Linked DNA regions of Caenorhabditis elegans. The protein of the gene in region 1 purifies or fractionates together with the protein of each later gene. This does not show direct contact. Each region holds a gene or a part of one and is shown on either strand. Other genes may lie near its edges. The genes, in order: Y69E1A.5 and oig-2.

Region 1 (3,377 bases):
TTTCTGAGACTTCAACAGGTGAAATCTGCAAAACGACTTTTGTTACTCACTCAATGCACTATATTTGTGACTGATGTTCCAGTTTATTGACCTTTTTTCATAATTATTTTTCTGATTCTTTTTGAATAAAAAAAATAAGTTTGATTCCACTGGTAATCGAATTTTTCAAATGCTGTTTATAGAAAATTCATAACTTTGCTTCTTTTTGCACTTCATGCATTATTCTATAATAGTTTGGTGAAAACTAGCGGAAATTTTGCAAGCGGAAATTTAATGTTATGAACTTTAATAGAAAGGTTCTACAAATTTCAAATTGACTTCCACTGCAAAATTTGTTTCAGCTGCACTCAAACCAATAAACTAACGGTTTCTTCCATACTGCATGTGAACTTTTTTCGTGATTTTTAACACTGAAAATTAATTTACCTGCATATTAATCATAAATCCTTTATACATTTTAACTATCTTGGGATTTTTCATGATTAGAAATATTCCCAAAATGTTGAAAACCAATGCAAATGTACCATGAATTGAATAGAAAGTTAATAGGAAAGTTGGTTTAGTAACATCAATGGTCACTTCAGAATATGTATACATTTGACTTTTGAAAATCAGCTCAAGAGATTTGAATGATTGATTAATCAAAAATGGAAAAGAAATTAGAAGAAAGAAGTTAGAGAATTTGAAACAAATTAGGAGTGTGATTTGAGCAAAAGAGTCAGAAAGAAATGACTATAAGGGCGTAACTGATTAAAATAAGCTAGTTATCCGTCCAAATTCACCTGTCGTAGTCTTGGCATATCTTCTGGAAAGCTGAAATAGAAAGGTGTCAAGTGGTTAAACAACGTTTCGAATCAATTGTTTTAGGAAGAGAGTACTGTACTTTCATAAATATATTCAGGAGTATATGTGTCTGAACTTCTGAACTGTATAGATTGTCGAAATTTTCAATTTATCAGTAATTATTTGGTTGACAATTTAGCTCAAAAAATGAAAAAATTCACAAAATAGTATCTTTAGCTAAAGGTGTATGCTGGTTGAATGGCAACTCTGTATTTCATTTTACTATTGAAGATTCTACTTAAAATTACAAAGTCCAATAGAAAAAAAATTTAGTAATTTTTTTTACCTAATTCAGTACAGTCGTGAAATTTAGCAGTTCAAAACTTTCTCATTTTCATATTTTATCAGAACATTCGAAAACCACATTCAATCTCTGATGAGTAGGCATCCGGTGGAAAGATCGTTCAAATGAAGAGATTTAGAGTCAGATGGGGGCGGTCAACTGTTGTTGTGCTTTTCGTATGGGTTAAAGATGAAGAACAAGAAAGATATGAAAGTGTAATCTGAGTTCTTCCCGCCTTTTTGCTGTAATAAGTAGTACATCACAGTCAGTAGAATGACTCTCATAACTGCCAGATGAACCGACGTCGTAATTATTTTTTTAGTTTCTGGGCTAAGCATTCAATAGTTCAGTTTTACCGAGGTGAATGGGGTTTTCCAATAAAATGCTTCGTTTTTCATGGAACCTAATGTTTTAATTTCTTCCCTATTGGTCCTGCGCTCATTGCTCTCTGTTAACAACTTGTATGGGTAGAAGGTAAACATAATGGTAGGTAGGCATTCGGTTAGCAGAAAGGTTTGAGTACTGTCTTCCAACCTATTTTTTTTCAAATGGAACCAATCGTTTATTGTTTTGGGTTTTTTCCTTTTGTTGTTGTATTTCTCTTTTTGTATGTTCCATTACTTTTCACCTCTGATTCACCAGCTTGCATTGTACATCTTGCTCTTATTTCCATCGCTTACCATCCATCACCCCTTCCTCCCCCATTACATTGTGCTCAATGCTCTTTCTCTTAGTTCCCACGTCACATCTCCAGTTTCTTTATCTTCTTTTCTCTCTGTTCCATGTTGTTGTCTGCTCATAAACCGCCTTGAAACACCTGTTATTTTTCGTTATTTTCTTGTTTTCTTCAGTCTTCTCATTTGATAACCTCATTTTGAAAATCGTCTTCCAGAACACATAAAAAATGTCCGACATTTCTGCCGCTTTTGCTCAACACGAGATTACTCCAAAGATTATTGAAAATGCCCCAAAGCAGAAGCTTCATGTAAGTTTTTTTTAAAAGTTAATTGCTACAACATTGAAAATTCAGTTGTGCTGGGACGGAATCCAAGTTGAGCCAGGAATGACTATGCAAGTTCGCAACCTTAAAAATGCTCCGAGATGGGCTCTTCCAGGAGCTGACCCAGAATCAATCTACACAGTTCTTATGATTGATCCAGATAACTTGTCAAGAAAGAATCCATCTGTTGCCGAGTGGCTTCACTGGCTTGTCTGCAATATTCCAGCCAGCAATATTATTGATGGAATTAACGGAGGTAATAACTATAATAAAACGCGAGAATACTTATAATTCACCTGGCTTCTGTTCTCAAATTGTTGATGGTGATAATAATAGGACACACTTATACCTACGATCACGAAATGTATGTTTTCCAGGTCAACATCAAATGGCATATGGAAGCCCAGCTCCAGGACCAAGAACTGATCTTCATCGTTATGTGATTCTTATGTGGGAGCACGCTGGAAGACGCATCTCTGTGCCGAAGCCTAGCTCTCGTGCCAAGTTCAACGTTAAACAATTCATCGAGAAGAACAAGTTGGGAGACCCAATTGCCGGAAATTTCTTCCTTGCTCAACACGAGGGATAAATATTGTAATTTAATGTGTAATTATAATTGGATAACAACGAAATAGCCATTTTCTAATTTGAAATTATTTCTATGTAATAAAATTTAATTTTTGTGGTTATTGAAAATTCACTCCATGCTCAATCGAGGGAAATAATATAATAATAATATAATATCGAAAGTTGGCTAATAACTTCTTCGGAACAATTATGACAGGAATAAGTCCAGGTGGTTAAAATGTAACAGAATGTAAAGAAAAAGTTACTTGAGCAAAGCTAAAGATCGAACTCATTCGAAGTTTGATGAATCTATTGTTTTCATGATATGTATACGTTGTAGTAATTTCAATTTCTTTATTTCTACGAATAAAAAGTCTAAACGAGTTCAGGATCATTTCTTGGCCTTTCTCTCCTTTTCAAATCCACGTTTCTTGTCTCTGCTCTCCGGCCTGAAGACATTGATCGAAATCTTCAGTTTCTTATCAATACTAAAAACAGCCGCTGTGTTGTCATTCTGTCCACAGTAGTTTGGAGCCGAAAAAATTGTGACCAGACGTCGACCATCGAAGAATTCATAGCCATCTTCAACAACTTGATGACCACGGATAACCATTTGAAGATCCAGTTTTTTCAGAAATGCACGGAGAGCTGGTGGTCCGAAGACAAAAGATGCACCACGTGCGG
Region 2 (4,076 bases), on another chromosome or scaffold:
CCAACCGTTTTTTATGATATTCGGTCATTTTGACACCAGAAAAGTAGTTTTCTACATTTTCCCCCTAATGACAAAGTTTTGGCAAATTGTCAAATTTTCAACTACATAGAATTGAGCTTAATATGAAATTTGTAGCAATGCCGCAAGTTCAAAACTTTCAAATAATAATATGCAATGAATTAATAGAAAAGTTGGCCATTGTTCAGACTTTAGGCGACAAAATTAGCGCCACTTTTTGCCGCAAAATTAAAATTTTCAATTTTTTTTTTTTTTGAAAAATTGTACTTTTATATTTGGCACACTTCATAAAAGTCTTCAAACATTCCCATCTTTGATTCTGAATGTTTACCAAAGGAAATTGACATCAAAGTTTGCTCGTACGGTTTTCATACTATTCTGTACCTACAGTTTAAACTATCAGCCTGTAGTTCAGATGTCCAAACCAAAAGTCTAAACTTTTAAACTAGAATTCTTATCAACTTGAACTCTCGAACAGATCTGACTCCAACATGTCGCCAACAAAATTTTCTCAATCAACATTTTTACTATTCTGCACATGTGATCATTTTTATTTCCTTCCAAAAACCGATCTCCCTGATCGGGTATACTTCGTTTTTTGTTCAATCTGTTTTTCTGAACTCTACACTCAAAATTCCTAGTATTTTTGACATCTTTTCTCTCTATTTCTGACCTTCTTATCACATGATAACCACGTTGTTTCTTCTACGAGTGATATTAAGATACAGTATAGCGACGGAAAAGTTTATTGGAAGAAATATTAAAGAAATCTAGCAGAATTTAGTCAAGAGTCTTGAAAACCTCTTTTCCAGTGCATTTGTAGATGTACTGCTGCTCAACGGAGTGTGAGCCATGGGTGTTTGTAGCAGTCACTTTGTAAACTCCTTGGTCCTCTTGGGTAGGGTTCTGGAAACATTTTCTTTGTTATTAACTTATCTAGAATGCTCATTTCTGGAAATTCATATGAAAATATAGAGAAGTATTTGTACTTTTAGAAGATAGCGTTATTTTAGTGAAGATTATGAAAAAGTGATCAAAATTGGCATTTGATTTAAAATGTGCCAAGTGAGTATGCCGATGGGTGTTACGGCATTGAGGCAATTTTTTAGCAACTTTTTGAAATTTTTAATATAAAGTAATTTTATTTTCAAAAAGTATGAATATTCCCATTGCCTAATTTTCATCATCAAGCTTCATTTTTGAGCTGAATTTCAAAAAAATTGTATGTGAATTATGCTGATGATCGATGGTGAATCTACCCAGTTATGGTGCATCTGACAAGTTATGGTACATTTGACCAGTTACGGTGAATCTAACCAGTTATGGTGCATTTAACTAGTTATGGTACATTTGACCAGTTACGGTGCATCTAACTTGATATGGTGCATCGACGGTGAATCTAGCCAGTTATGGTGCATATTTATTTTTGTTGGAAAATTTTAAAAAATCAAAAATAGTGCATGAAAGTTGACGTTTGCCAAAAAAGTGCCGTTAAAAGTGTTTAGACAAACGACAACTTTCAGACACTATTTGAACTTTTTTTTCAAACTTTTCAAAAAAATTTGTATTTTTTCCAGATAGAACAAACCTTTCTCTACGTTTCTATGTTAATTTTGCATGAAAAAAGTTGGATTATCATTTTGAAATAAACATTATTGTGGGTTTGCCGAAAAAATACCGCACAGCCCTTAAATATATGTTCGATTCCGATAAATGAAAAAAAAAACTTTCCGAAATTGTATAGCCTATTTTCAATTTTTGTTCCTGCCGGAGACCATCCCAAACTTTCCAGGAACGGTTTTTAAAAGAATGGCCGACATTTTCTAGGTCAATAAATTGTTTCTGAAGTTTTTTACTTTAAAATAAATGTGAAACAAAATCTCGAGGCAAGTGTTTCGAAGGTCAATATTACACCATGTTCTTACAATTTAAGTTTCCCTCTAAAAACCAGATCAAGTGTTCTATCCGTTCCTTTCTTCTTATTCTCTTCTTAATCTAGAATCCCGATCAGTTTATCAGTATTACAAAAATCTTACTTACCTTGATATGCAGTGTAACTGTGAACTTGCCAACCATCTTCTTGATCTTTGACACGTAACGATCACCAGTCAGCTCTTTGTCTTTCAAAAACCTACAGTAGTTAAGGTTAGGGGTTCATAAACCAAAATCTTTTACCATTTAACTGTTGGTTGTGGATTCGCATTACAGATGCATTCGAACAGAACTGATCCGTCTGGAGCAATGATAAGCGATGGAGCTTTCTCGAAAAACGGAGCCAAAACCATTCTGAAACTAACCTTTTAGAACTAATAAGATGGCTGAACATATGTAATGAAAACGCTCGAAGAGCTTCTCACTGATCAATTCCGTCAGTAACAGGTGACGGAAGCTGAGAGATTTGAGGGGCAGAGATGGAGAGATGAGTAGGCGGAGGGAGATGAAAGAGCACTTTTTTCTGAAGCCAACATGTTTAATAATATTGAGAAAAATGTTGAGGGCATTGATTGATTTGTTGGTTCAAAGCAAGTCAATGAATTCGATACACGCGATGAACAGCAATTGAAATGGCATAGAATTAAAGTTTTGGTTAATAATTCACTTGATTCTATGAATTTTTTTAATTATTGTATTTTTCTGATTATTAACATATCAATTTCTTATTCTTATAGAGTATTTTATATTTTCAGTCATTGATAGGACTCCATACTTTCTGGACGCGAAAATTTCCAATTTTTTTTCCCAAAACTACCTTCTATGAAAAGTTATTTATTCATTGGAAATCTCGAATAAAATTATCATTTCAAACATTGAAAAATGTTTCAGCATTGAACGCAACAGTTTATTTTCTGTTTTTTTCTACTATAAAACTTTTGTAAAATCACTAAAAAACGAAGATGGATCCCACTTTAATATATTTATGAACTGAGTACTAAAAGAAAACAAAAATAATTGTATCCAAGTTTATTTGAATTTGTGAATGGTGATTTTGGTGCTTCTCTCCGGAGCTCTGCCTACACAGTGCGGCATCGGATACACTTCATCTAACCTCTCTACCGGTGTATTTTCGGCTCGCAAAAACAGTTCAGAACTAGTAATATTAATAAGAATTGGCATTCGAAGATACTTGGCGGCCCATATCGCATCTTTCAGTTCCTCTCGATCCAATGATTTAACATAGTCAACTTCCCACGTAGAAGTGCTCGGAACTTCGACTCGATGACGGATGCACCAGGTGACAACCATCTTCATGGTAATTCCTTTGACGTTCGGAACTGGTATCACATAGTTGGAAGCTTTTCCCTGTTGGACTTGGCTTGCCATCTGGGAGAGGATCTCCGATTGATTCGGTGGACATTTCGAAATAGTGATCGTCGAAAGTTTTGAGTCTATAGAGCTCTTTTGATGACATGATGTACCTGGAAATTTGAATTGTGAAACAGGAGGGGTTTATTAGGCTCCGCCCATATAATGGTTGTGGTGAGAAGTTTGGAGGAAGGTACGGAAAAAGATATCACAAAGACAAGGGGCAAAACATTTTTTTGAACTACTCTGGGCATTCTAATTTGCTAGAAAGAAATGCAACTCTGGGGAAAATATAATAAAAAACACATTTTTCTAGGTTTCAAAAAACATTTTTTTAAACTTTCAGTGAAACAAAATCGTTTCAAAATCGACTATACATATGCTTGTAACCCGGGGGGAGCAATACATAAATTTCGAAAAAAGTGAAAACTTCAATCAGAATCGAGCTGTCTGATGGAATGTAAATTATGGGTGTTTCAAAAAGAGCACGGAGACGTGGTCGTTGTGGAAACCTAATGCTACATGTAATTATAAAAGACACAAGAGGACTTGAGCCCGCTGAGTTGAAAAGAATATAGACGTTAACTTGAAGTGAATGAGATCAGAAGATACCTGTCGCTTTGCTGGAAATTTTTGCAAAATTGTACGGAATCAGAGAATTGTTTTTTTTTAATATTTGTCACCGCATTTATACCTTCCAGTTTTGAGATTTTTCGTGGGAATTTTTGCAGAAAATCGCAAAAAAGTTTCATGGA

What was found.
Region 2: the proteins of Y69E1A.5 (region 1) and oig-2 fractionate together in Caenorhabditis elegans (co-fractionation; one large-scale study listed by BioGRID). This does not show direct contact.

Annotation. Positions count from the first base shown.
Region 1 is NC_003282.8:10,956,297-10,959,673, reverse strand, and holds Y69E1A.5 (Phosphatidylethanolamine-binding protein), read left to right. Parts: upstream 1-2,018; 5' UTR 2,019-2,030; coding exon 2,031-2,111; intron 2,112-2,156; coding exon 2,157-2,382; intron 2,383-2,503; coding exon 2,504-2,715; 3' UTR 2,716-2,811; downstream 2,812-3,377. Other genes in the region: sri-19 (Serpentine Receptor, class H), read right to left, coding at 427-597; Y69E1A.4 (Serine/threonine-protein phosphatase), read right to left, coding at 3,085-3,377.
Region 2 is NC_003280.10:13,005,861-13,009,936, forward strand, and holds oig-2 (Ig-like domain-containing protein), read right to left. Parts: upstream 2,305-4,076; 5' UTR 2,304-2,304; coding exon 2,194-2,303; intron 2,150-2,193; coding exon 2,059-2,149; intron 925-2,058; coding exon 799-924; 3' UTR 753-798; downstream 1-752.